2 linked regions of the Coturnix japonica genome follow. The protein of the gene in region 1 purifies or fractionates together with the protein of each later gene. This does not show direct contact. Links are inferred from orthologs where the notes say so. Each region holds a gene or a part of one and is shown in the gene's direction. Other genes may lie near its edges.

Region 1 (6,701 bases):
TCTAAAATCTGCACAAACCTCTGAGGCTGCTGAAATGGATGTGAAGGTGGGCGGTAGGCAGAATGGTATGGTTCATTTTCAGTACTGTGTTGTATTGTATTGTATTTACTGAATAAATAATACTGAACTTATTTGAATAAATATTACAGCTCATAAGTGCTTCATCATTTGTCTATTAGAACCGATGCTATTTATCACTGAATATCTGAGCTCTTTGGGTTTGTCACTTGAAAGGCAGTTCTGATAAGATTATCCAGTTGAGGGTGTACAGCTTTTCTTTCGAGGGGACAAAATAGTTTTCTGTTTTAATTTCAGGCTACATGGGCATCATAGCAAAGAATGTGAGTTCACTAAGGTATGACTATTCGGAATCAAACAGTACTTCCTTTGTCTCTCTATAGGTCTGCCTGAAGACTTTCACAGTAAGGATTATAAAACATCATCTGACCCCCCCTGCATCATTGAAAAGCTGTGTTCATTACATTACGGATTAGTTTTAGAAGCAAAAGGCATCAAGGAGCATTTTTGGAAGCCGTACATTCGGAAACTTTTTGACAAGAAGGTTGGTGGGTGCATTCAGGATGCAGAAAATGCTTCTCTACTTGTTGTCTTCAGAACTTTAACGACTGCCGTGTCTCCGTTCTTTGCTCTTTCAGCTCTTAAAAGGAAAAGATGAAAATCTGACTGGATTTCTGGATCCTGGAAACTTTGGAGACAGCTTGTGAGTCAGCTTGTGCTTTGGTCTGCATTTGTGTCCCTTTGGGTTATTACCTGTATCTTATCACTAATACTAGCTAGTTAATTTATAGATATATTACTATTTATATATTATATTAAAAGGCATTTCAGCTCTTTGCTGGTTGAGGCCTTTTCAGCATAGCATTGCTCGATGTCTGCTCTTGTTCATGTTTCCATGGTCTTTTCTATACGATGTAAAGCGTTAGGAAGAAAAAGCAAGTTCTGAGGCCTTCAGATAGGCCAAGAAGTGTGTTCAGTCAGAAAGCAGGTAGTGAAAGCGCTGTCTAAACTAAAGGGCTTTTTTTCTCTTTTCCCCTGTAGCAAAGCCATCAACAAGGCCTATGAGGAGTATGTCTTGTCAGTAGGAAACCTCGATGAGCGAATATTCCTCGGGGAGGATGCAGATGAAGAAATTGGAACTCTCACACGGTGCTTAAATACACCCTCAGGAATGGAAACAGCTGAGCGAGTACAAGTGAAGCATAATTTACAGCAGCACTTTGACAGAGTGAGTCTGGCACAGTCCTTTGATGTTCCTGTGGAGAAGGAGTTGTCCAATTGTGGCGTTTCAGCGTGAGGTCATTTTGTCACTGCTCAGATACTTCTGTGTTAGTATTTGACACAGGCATCCAAGCCACAGATAGACCTGATGCTGATGGTTGTTACTGGGAGAGAACTGGTTTGGGTTGTTTGATTCCAGCTCTCCTTTCATAGATAGATATATATTGTAACCAGCTAAGAAACAATTCTAGCACCTGACACTTTAAGTCTCTTACAAGGTCTGAGTGCTGTAATAATGTACAGAGAGATGCTTTGTTTTCTTTCTAGTCTAAATCGCTTCGGATGTCGACCCCCCTCACTGGCCGCAAGTACATTAAGGAGAGCAACCCCTATGTGACACCCATTTCCATAGCAACGTACAGCTTGAGCCGCCTTCACACCATGCTGGCGGGGCTGAAAAATGCCCCCAGTGAAAACCTGGAGCAAATCTTCAGGTAACTTTGATGCTTAGCTACAAAAGTTAGAAACTATAATAACAAATGTGAAATAGCGTAACTTAAAAGGTAAAGTGTTGGAAGCCTGGAGTGAAATAGGAGCCAGAGGGACATTCAGCTTCAGAAAGGCTCTTGTCTTTATTTCTGCACGTTTATCCTTGAGAGATCGACAGTGATAACAACACCCAAATTTGGAGCTTCACTAACAGCAAACTGCCATTGCAATTTTTTCAAGCCTTTTCTTATTAATTCACATTGGAATACGTTGTTTAGTATTAAACTCTTATGACGAGTTGACGCTCACTGCAGTAGAATTTGCTGTGGATGTCTCACAGTGCATTTCCAGCAAGGCACGTGTGGGTGTGTTTGCATTGCTGTCTATCAAAGATAATTTACAGCTTCATGCTTTAATCCTATTGTAGGTTTTTTTGGTGTGTGTGTATTTGTGTTTTGTCTTAGCAGAAATAGAACACTTAAACTAGCTTGTATTTTCAGGGCGTGTTCCAGAGATCCCTCACAGTCTATTGCAAACAGAGTCAAAGAAATGTATGAAGTGTATTGTCAGAGCATGCAGACTGAAGAAGAGTTCAGTAATTTGTCCAAAGGTGGGAAACATTTTACTTACATAAACAGGAATTCACATGTATTTAAAAACACTGATCTCTTCCAAGTAAACTCTGCCTTATGTAGAGGCTGTGCTTTAGCACAAGAGTCTTTTCTATTTCTTCTCTCTTTGCCTGCTAGTCTTACAGTAGGGCAACTTTCAACCCTATATAAACTTCCATAATCATACTTGGCATAAATCATAGGGACTTGATGATTTTTCTATGATGTTTTACAGGAGGGTGGAAAGAAAAGCACTCAGAATTGTTCTTCTCTCAAGGGTGCCTTTTTGTCACAGCTGCACAGGAGTCCACACAAGCAAATAAGCTGCTGCTTTATCACTGTAGTTTAAGATGAATGATGACACCTTTACTGCAGTTCACAATATTATTTGTGTTTACAGATGTGGCCAGCAAGCATTTCCGTCGTGCTGAGGTGCTCTACTACAAGGTTTTGGAGGCAATCATTGAGCAAGAGAGGAAGAGACTGGGAGACGCTGACTTATCTGTAAGGACAACTACTCCAATTGCACCTTATGTTTCAAGTTGGATCTACAAAAAAGGAAATATTGATATATATTTATAATATTTTATTACATACTGCTATTTTAAATGAGTAAATCTCCCAGGTAGTTGGAAGGTGTACCTGAATGGAAGGAAAACTACAAGAAATTGTTTGTTTGAGAACAAAAATGGTATATGAAATTTATAAAGAGTAAAGATGTCTTCATTTGGATTCTGTTCCATCAGGTACAAAGGGAAATCCCATGTTTAAAAGCTGGGTAATGTTGCTGTGGAGGCAGAATAGAAAGCATGATCCTGTTGTGTTGTTACACTGTAGATGAAGCATTAAAACAGACAACTCTCTTGCAGGCTGTACTGGAGCAAGACGTGTTCCATCGCTCCCTGCTGGCGTGCTGCCTTGAGATCGTCACCTTCACATACAAGCAGCCTGGAAACTTTCCCTTCATCACAGAAATATTCGACATTCCAGTTTATCACTTTTATAAGGTAAAGTGTTTAATAGCTAGAAATGTTGATCAAGCCCTGCGTACTCAACTTGTATTAAATAATCTCTTTACCTGAATGCTAAAATGTGAACTAACTTCATTCTTAGCTTTGCCTCTTTTTGTCTTGAAAGTACTTTACAGCTGGCTTGGGCATCTAAAAATCAGACTGCTGTTAATCAGTGGAATGCAGGAGTTTGTCCAAGTGACTAATGAATTGTCACCTATCTTGAACTAGGGACCAGGGATCCTGAGCTGCTGCTGCAGCTGTTCTGCATTCACTGCTATGTGGGAAGATAAACTTGCAGCCCAATTGAACCACACTGACACAGTCTAACAATTGTTCTTGTCTCTTCCTTGAGAAGAAGTTAGGATCTCATTTCATTGTAAGAAGAAATCTATGAAAACAAAGAGGTTATACTCAGTCACTGATTTATTCAGTATTACATGGACTTCATCCTTGTCTGCTTTACAGGTAATTGAGGTTTTCATTAGAGCAGAAGATGGCCTTTGTCGGGAAGTTGTGAAACACCTTAATCATATTGAAGAACAGATCTTGGAAAGCATGGCCTGGAAACAGGAGTCCATCCTGTGGGACAGAATCAGAGATAACGACAACAAAGTTCCGAGCTGTGAAGAGGTGAGCGCTGCTCTGTATTGTGTAACATGGCTCACGTGGGGCTCCTGTTCAGCAGAATGGTGGAGGGTGGACATCAGCTCTTGCAGGAGAGGCTTCGCATGCCCAGACTTACACAGTTTTTAGTTTAAGGTTACAGTATTTTTTCAGTGTTCTTCATTTTTCTTCTGTATAGTTTCACTGTTCAACATGTTTAGACTAGAAGTTCTAAAAATCAGCTGTGCATTGAATTTGTGCTACAGCTGCACTGATAAAAGTACAACTATTTTAGGTCATGCCACCTCAGTACTTCGAGAGATCTGCTGCCAGCAGTGTTGTCAGTTCTCCATTGACACCAAGACGACTAAATGAGGTCCGAGCTGAAAGTGGAGGCCTGGGAAAAGGTGAGCTATTTTTCAAGCACAACGTATTGATCACTCCTACACTGTGACCTGAATTTACAATCTAAATGGCATACAGGAAGGAAGCTGCTCTAGTGGTTACTGTACAATCAGGCACCTGTAAATGCTATTTCTGTTGTAACCTGCATAGTTAAGTCAGATGTCTAAGACTGAAACCTTCCTTATTTCAGATCAGAACAGTCCCGTGTCAGTGGTTTCAGGAGTTTGTGTCTATTAACACCATCTGTGTACACACATGTACATGTATAAATACATCAGCTCTGCTCAGCAGCTTGGTTTGTTACACCAGATTAGAAGCTCCAGTGTATGTTCAGCTCTGTGAGGCTTCAGATTTTTTTTTACAGAGGAACTAAAGCATAACGCATTTGCTGAGAAAAAGCTACTCAGTGCCATGTTACATGAGATCAAATAATCTCATAATCTGTGAGCCACAGATGTAGACATTAATTTTAAATGCTTCCAGTTGTCATCTTTGGGGTCTCATCAGATTTCTTTTTTATCTATTTGTATAATAAGGGATTTTACAACAAGATTGTTTTCTTTTTGTTTTTTAAACCCACAGGCATTTCATCTTCCCCTACAACCCTGTATGACAGATACAGCTCTCCTACAGCGCATCCTACGAGGAGGAGGCTGTTTGTCGATAACGATAATCCCTCTGACACCTCAACTCCAGTCAGAGTTGCCCAGCAGCCCGTGGTAAATACGGTGCCTGTGCAGAATGTGAACCCTGACACCGTGTCAGTAACTCCAGTGCCTGGCCAGACATTGGTTACAGTAGCAACTGCCACCGTGACAGCCAATAATGGGCAAACTGTGACCATACCTGTACAAGGTAAGAGAAAAGCTGCTGTCAGATCAGGCTGATTTCTGTCCAATATCCAGTAAGGGGATGTGGGGGAAAACAGCACGCCCAGAGCAGGAAAGCAGGCTTAAGAAGGTATGAATAGATGAGCAGAATTTAGAGACGGCACAAAGATGCTCAGTGACTCTGTTAATACAACAACTTTTTCAGTGAGCTTTGCTTCCTCAGCTGGAAGAAAGTGACGTTATAATTAAAGATTAGTTCAATTCCGTTATCTTCTTGTTTCCTTATCTATAATATACTACAAATTATAATCAATTAATGTAAGGTACACTGAATTATTAAGAAAAAGCTGTAACAGGAAACACCATCCACACTAAACAACCCCCTACAACTCGCTCTTATGTCAGACTCTTTTCTTAAATTACAGGTATCGCCAATGAAAATGGAGGAATAACTTTCTTCCCAGTGCAGGTCAATGTTGGGGCCCAGCCGCAGGCAGTCTCTGGCTCCATTCAGCCCCTCAGCGCCCAGGCTCTCACGGGCCCCCTGAGCACTCAGATGTCGGGGGCAGCGCTGCAGCTCCCAGGACAGGTCACTGTTCAGCACATCACCTCTGGAGAGCCAAGGCCAGCCCAGCCCCTCACTGCTGCCACAGCTGCTCGGTCCCGGAAGATGGGCTCGCTTTCCCTCTTCTTTAGAAAGGTACTTTTCAGCCTAATTCGTGCTTTGTTTAGTTTGTATTTTGGTAGCTCTTCTGTGATATTTTAATATCTTTGGTAGCTCTCCTGTGATATTAAAATATCTCCTTATTGCTAATATTAATAAGAGAATATTTAGCTTCAAAGATAACATGTTTTGTCTGATCAGATGCATACCTGAAGAGCTGTGTTCCTGCACAGGGCTTCCTCGCTGTCAGGGTAGATGAACAGTACGGCTGTCACTAGCTGGCAAGCAGATTGACATCTGTGGCCAGCAGCTGCTTAAACGTGTCCATCTTCTTTCAGGCTCTTAAAGAAAGAGAAATTTACTTTGGAAATATTTAATCAATACAGAGGTTTCTGTATTTCCAGATAACTGCAGAATTCAAAAACAAATGCTTTTGTAGCATCAGTACCAGTATAGCAGTGTCTTAATCTTGTAAGCAAAAGCAGCTCATTTCAGTACTTGTCATTAGTTTATCACTTGCATGGCTTCTACAAAGGACTCACATCCAAGTTAGAGCTCAGTTTGGACAAGACAAGCACGGTAGATGTGGTCCCTTTCCTAGAGGTGTATCATTTAGCTGTCTCCTTTCCTACAGGTCTATCATTTAGCTAGTGTTCGTCTGCGGGATCTCTCTGTCAAACTGGACATATCTGATGAGCTGCGGAAAAAAGTCTGGACATGTTTTGAGTATTCCTTGATGCACTGCCCTGAAATCATGATGGACAGGCATCTGGATCAGCTGCTGATGTGTGCTATCTACGTAATGGCTAAGGTAAGCTGAATAAAAACAGCGTGTTTTTTAAGGCTC
Region 2 (6,311 bases), on another chromosome or scaffold:
CAGCAGTTCAATGGCGGCCGCTTTCTGCCCCACGGCGCAGCCCCACGGCGATGGAGGGAGGGCCTGCCCCATAGAAACACATTGAGCCACATCCCAGCCCCATAGATCCCCATCCCAGCCCCATAGATCCACATCCCAGCCCCATAGATCCCCATCTCAGCCCCATAGATCCACATCTCAGCCCCATAGATCCACATCCCAGCCCCATAGATCCACATCCCAGCCCCATAGATCCACATCCCAGCCCCATAGATCCCTCAGCCCCATAGACCCACATCCCAGCCCCATAGATCCCCATCCCAGCCCCATAGATCCCCATCCCAGCCCCCATAGATCTACATCCCAGCCCCATAGATCCACATCTCAGCCCCAATAGATCCCCATCCACAGCCCCATAGATCCCCATCCCAGCCCCATAGATCCACATCTCAGCCCCATAGATCCCCATCCCAGCCCCATAGATCCCCATCCCAGCCCCATAGATCCACATCCCAGCCCCATAGATCCCTCAGCCCCATAGATCCACATCTCAGCCCCATAGATCACACAACCCAGCCCCATAGATCCACATCCCAGCCCATAGATCCCACCATCCCAGCACCATAGAATCCACATCCCAGCCCCATAGATCCCATCCCAGCCCCATAGATCTACATCCCCGATCCCAGCCCCATAGACCCACATCTCAGCCCCATAGATCCCTCAGCCCCATAGATCCACCCCTCCATTAAGCCCCGCCCCCTTACCGCCTCATCCGATTGGCTCCTCCTCCGTGCTGACGTCACAGGGGGCGGAGCTTCGGCCAGTCCCCGCCTCCTATTGGCTCTCCATTGCTGCAATGGATCCAAGCTCCGCCCACCGCCCTGCAGGCCACGCCCACAAGGGGGCGGGGCTACAACAAAAGGGGGCGTGGTCAGATAGGTTGATTTCCGTATAAGGCAATGTGGGCGGAGCCAAGCCAAGCCCCGCCCCCAGTCATTCCATATATGGTAATGTGAGGGTGAAGCCCCGCCCCCTCAGTCTTAGTTCCATATATGGTAATGGGGGCGTGGCCAAAGCAAAGCCACGCCCCCAAATCATTCCATATAAGGTAATAGGGGAGGTGAAGCCCCGCCCCCTCAGCTCCCATTCCATATATGGTAACAGGTTCTTCCATATATGGCAGTGTGGGGCGTGGCCTAACGGAATATCCCCATTGGTTCTTCCATATATGGCAATGTGGGCGTGGCCAGTCACTTGGTTCTTCCATATATGGCAATATGGGCGTGGCCAAGCTAAGCCCCGCCCACCCCAGCCTCCTATTGGCTGTAATGGAGGGGGCGTGGCCTTACCTGGGTGGGTCTGGGGGGTCCGTGGGTGTTGGTTCAGCACAGCTTCACTATGGGGCAGAGTGGGGGGGTTATGGGGCAGCTATGGGGTCTACAGGGCACTTATGGGGCACATATAGGGCAGCTATGGGGTCATAGGGCACTTATGGGGCAGCTATGGGGCCAACAGCTCACTTAAGGGGTAGCTATAGGGGCTATAGGTCAGCTATGGGGCAGTTTGGGGTCTCCTAAGGCAGCTATGGGGCACACAGCTCACTTATGGGGCAGCTATGGGGCTGTCATGGGGTCTTAGGGCACTTATGGGGCACATATAGGGCAGCTATGGGGCCAACAGCTCACTTAAGGGGTAGCTATAGGGGCTATAGGGCAGTTATGGGGCAGTTTGGGGTCTCCTAAGGCAGTTATGGGGCACATAGCTCACTTATGGGGCGGATATGGGGTGGTTATGGGGATTATAGGGCACTTAAAGGGTTGATATGGGGCCCATAGATCACTTGTGGGTCACATATAGGGCAGTTATGGGGTCAAGAGCTCACTTAGGGGGCAGTTATGGGGAATACAGAGCATTTATGGGGCAGCTATGGGGTGTCTATGGGGCAACTATGGGGTGTCTATGGGGCAGCTATGGGGCTTCTATGGGGTATCTATGGGGCAGCTATGAGGTGTCTATGGGGCAGCTATGGGGCATCAATGGGGTCTCTATGGGGCAGCTATGGGGCAGCTATGGGGTGTCTATGGGGCAGCTATGGGGCACTATGGGGCTCTCACCTCCTCCTCAGCAGCGCCGCCGTTCTCTCTTGCAGCCCCTATGGGACAGAAGCGATGTAGAATGGGGGGGCTCCGGGCCCCATAGCGCCCCATAGAGCCCCATATATCCCCATAGCGCCCCATAGAGCCCCATATATCCCCATAGCGCCCCCATAGAGACCCATAGCGCCCCATAGAGCCCCATAGCGCCCCATAGCGCCCCATAGCACCCCATGGAGCCCCCTAGCGCCCCATAGAGCCCCATAGCGCCCCATAGGGCCCCATAGCGCCCCATATCGCCCCATATAACCCCATAGAACCCCATAGAACCCCATAGAGCCCCCTAGCGCCCCCTAGCGCCCCATAGGGCCCCATAGCGCCCCCATAGAGACCCATAGCGCCCCATAGAGCCCCATAGCGCCCCATAGCGCGCCATAGCACCCCATAGAGCCCCATAGCGCCCCATAGCGCCCCATAGCACCCCATAGGGCCCCATAGCGCCCCATATAACCCCATAGAGCCCCATATAACCCCATAGAACCCCATACAGCCCCATAGCGCCCCATAAGGCCCCATAGAGACCGATAGAGACCCATAGAGACCCATAGCGCCCCCCACCTCCATCCGACTCCTATGGGGGGCGCAGCCAAAATGGCGCCCGCCCCAACATGGCGCCCGCGCCCCGCCCTCCCAGGGGATGAGACGCGTGTTGATTGGTTGTCGGTTGTGATGGACGCGGCGTGCGGCCAATGGGAAGGCGGAGTGAGTGGCGGGACGGTTGAAAGAGAAAGCTCCGCCTTCTTGTGTGGAGATGAGAGCGGTGATTGGTTGGGATGAAGAGATGGACGCGGTGAGCAGCCAATGGAAAGGCGCAATGTGTTACGCCCCGCCTTCTAAACAACAGCTCGTGCTTCGATTGGCTAAAAGGTAAAACGGACGTGATCACAGACCAATGGGTAAAGGGCAGCGATGTCCCGCCCTCTGAACGCGGACTCTGGTGCTGATTGGCTGTCAGCCGGACGGACGGGGCAAGCGACCAATGAGAGAGCGAGGAGACGAGCTGAGGAGGCGGCGCGCGAGGCGGGAGACGCGGCGGGAGGGAGGTGAAAAATGGGGGAAAATGGGGAAAAAACGGGCAAAAATGGGGGAAAATGGGGAAAAACGGGCAAAAATGGGGGAAAAGAGGCAAAAATGGGGGTTTTGGGGGGTTTAATGGAGTTTTATGGGGCTCTATGGGGTTTAATGGGGTTCTATGGGGTTTAATAGGGCTCTATGGGGCTCTATGGGGTTCTGTGGGGTTCTATGGGGTTTAATAGGGTTCTATGGGTCTCTATGGGGTTCTATGGGGTTTAATAAGGTTCTATGGGGCTCTATAGGGTTCTATGGGTCTCTATGGGATTCTATAGGGCTCTATGGGGTTCTGTGGGGTTTAATAGAGTTCTGTGGGGTTTAATAGGTCTCTATGGGGCTTTATAGGTCTCTATGGGGTTTAATAGGGCTCTATGGGTCTCTATGGGGTTCTATGGGTCTCTATGGGGTTCTATGGGTCTCTATGGGGTTCTATGGGGCTCTATGGGGTTCTATGGGGCTCTATGGGGCTTAATAGGGTTCTATGGAACTCTATGGGGTTCTATGGGTCTCTATGGGATTCTATAGGGCTCTATGGGGTTCTGTGGGGTTTAATAGGGCTCTATGGGGTTTAATAGGGCTCTGTGGGGCTCTATAGAGTTCTATGGGGTTCTATGGGTTTCTATGGGGTTGAATAGGGCTCTATGGGGTCTCTATGGGGCTCTATGGGGTCTAATAGGGTTCTATGGGGCTCTATGGCGTTTAATAGGGCTCTATGGGTCTCTATGGGGTTCTATGGGGTTCTGTGGGGTCTCTGTGAGGCTCTATGGGGTTTAATAGGATTCTATGGGGCTCTATGGGGTTTAATAGGGTTCTATGGGTCTCTATGGGGTTCTATGGGTCTCTATGAAGCTCTATAGGGTTCTATGGGGTCTCTATGGGGTCTCTATGGGGCTCTATGAGGCTCTATGGGGTCTCTATGGGGCTCTATGGGGCTCTATGGGGTTCTATGGGGCTCTATGGGGTTCTATGGGGCTCTATGGGATTCTGTGGGGCTCTATGGGATTCTGTGGGGCTCTATGGGGTTCTATTGGGCTCTATATGGTTCTGTGGGGCTCTATAGGGCTCTATGGGGTTTAATAGGGCTCTATGGGGTTCTATGGGGTTTAATAGGTCTCTATGGGTCTCTATGGGGTTCTATGGGGTTCTATGGGTCTCTATGGGGTTCTATAGGGCTCTATGGGGTTCTGTGGGGTTTAATAGAGTTCTATGGGGCTTTATAGGTCTCTATGGGGTTTAATAGGGCTCTATGGGGCTCTATGGGGCTCTATGGGGTTCTGTGGTGGCTCTATGGGGTTATATGGGGTTCTGTGGGGCTCTATAGGGTTCTATGGGGCTCTATAGGGTTCTATGGGGTCTCTATGGGGTCTCTATGAGGCTCTATGGGGTCTCTATGAGGCTCTATGGGGTCCCTATGGGTCCCAATGGGTCTATATGGGTCTCTATGGGTCCCTAATGGTCCTTATATGTCTCTATGTGTTTCTATGGGGTTTTTAGGTCCCATCCCCCACACGCCGCCATGTTGTCCCTGAAGGTGAAGGTGGAGAAACCAGGTGAGTAATTAACATCGTAATTAACATCTTAATTAACATCATTAATTAACACAGACTTAATTAACACTAATTAACCCCAAGAAATCCCCCAATTTCCGCCATTTTGAGCCCAATTTCTTCCTTTTTGGGCCTAATTTCTTCCATTTTGGGCCCAATTTCCCCCATTTTGGGACCAATTTCCCCCATTTTGGGCCCAATTTCCACCTTTTTGGGTCCAATTTCCACCATTTTGGGCCCAATTTCCCCCATTTTAGGCCCAATTTCCACCATTTTGGGTCAATTTCCTTCAATTTTGGGCCCAATTTCCCCCCATTTTCGACCCAATTTCTTCCTTTTTGGTCCAATTTCCCCCATTTTGGGCCCAATTTCCCCCATTTTGGGCCCAATTTCCCCCATTTTGGGCCTAATTTCCCCCATTTTGGGCCCAATTTCCCCCATTTTGGGTCAATTTCCTCCAATTTTGGGTCCATTTCCCCCCATTTTAGGCCCAATTTCCCCCATTTTGGGCCCAATTTCCCCCATTTTGGCCCCAATTTCCTCCATTTTGGCCCCAATTTCCTCCATTTTGGGCCCAATTTCCACCATTTTGGGTCCAAATTCCTCCATTTTGGGCTCAATTTCTGCCATTTTGGGCCCATTTTTGTCAATTTTGGGTCAATTTCCCCCATTTTGGGCCCAATTTCCTCCATTTTGGGTCAATTTCCTCCAATTTTGGGCCCAAATTCCTCCATTTTTTGGCCCAATTTCTTCCTTTTTGAGCCCAATTTCTTCCATTTTGGGTCAATTTCCTTCAATTTTGGGCCTAATTTCCACCATTTTGGGCCCAAATTCCACCATTTTGGGCCCAATTTCCGCCTTTTTGGGTCCAATTTCCTCCATTTGGGGCCCATTTTTGTCAATTTTGGGTCAATTTCCCCCCATTTTGGGCCCAAATTCCTCTTTTTTGGGTCCAATTTCCTCCATTTTGGGCTCAATTTCTGCCATTTTGGGTCCATTTCCTCCATTTTTAGGCCCAATTTCCACCATTTTGGGTCAATTTCCTTCAATTTTGGGCCCAATTTCCCACATTTTGGGCCCATTTTTGTAAATTTTGGTTCAATTTCCTCCAATTTTGGGCCCAAATTCCTCCATTTTTTGGCCCAATTTCCTCCATTTTGGGTCAATTTCCTCCATTTTTAGGCCCAATTTCCACCATTTTGGGTCCATTTTGGGCTCATTTCCCCCCACTTTGGGCCCAATTTCTTCCATTTTGGGCCCAATTTCCCCCATTTTGGGCCCAATTTCCCCCATTTTGGGCCCAATTTCCCCCATTTTGGGTCAATTTCCTCCATTTTGGGTCAATTTCCTCCATTTTTAGACCCAATTTCCACCATTTTGAGCCCAATTTCCACCATTTTGGGTCCATTTTGGGCTCATTTCCCCCCATTTTGGGCCCAATTTCCACCATTTTGGGTCCAATTTCCGCCATTTTAGGTCCAATTTCCTCCAATTTTGGGTCCATTTCCCCCATTTTAGGCCCAATTTCCCCCATTTTGGTCCTAATTTCCCCCATTTT

Evidence for each region.
Region 2: the proteins of RBL2 (region 1) and LIN37 purify together in Homo sapiens (affinity purification with western blotting; 5 studies listed by BioGRID and IntAct, with this or other methods). This does not show direct contact. The link is inferred for Coturnix japonica from reciprocal best matches to the Homo sapiens genes RBL2 and LIN37.

Annotation. Positions count from the first base shown.
Region 1 is NC_029526.1:4,014,491-4,021,191, reverse strand, and holds part of RBL2 (retinoblastoma-like protein 2), read left to right. Parts: intron 1-401; coding exon 402-562; intron 563-656; coding exon 657-721; intron 722-1,059; coding exon 1,060-1,246; intron 1,247-1,566; coding exon 1,567-1,733; intron 1,734-2,228; coding exon 2,229-2,338; intron 2,339-2,739; coding exon 2,740-2,843; intron 2,844-3,208; coding exon 3,209-3,346; intron 3,347-3,757; exon of another isoform or gene 3,758-3,817; coding exon 3,818-3,982; exon of another isoform or gene 3,983-4,250; coding exon 4,251-4,362; exon of another isoform or gene 4,363-4,942; coding exon 4,943-5,215; exon of another isoform or gene 5,216-5,615; coding exon 5,616-5,890; exon of another isoform or gene 5,891-6,195; intron 6,196-6,488; coding exon 6,489-6,665; intron 6,666-6,701. UniProt on the Homo sapiens protein: Key regulator of entry into cell division. Directly involved in heterochromatin formation by maintaining overall chromatin structure and, in particular, that of constitutive heterochromatin by stabilizing histone methylation.
Region 2 is NW_015439939.1:36,892-43,202, reverse strand, and holds the start of LIN37 (protein lin-37 homolog), read left to right. Parts: upstream 1-3,029; 5' UTR 3,030-3,044; coding exon 3,045-3,178; intron 3,179-4,700; coding exon 4,701-4,756; intron 4,757-6,311.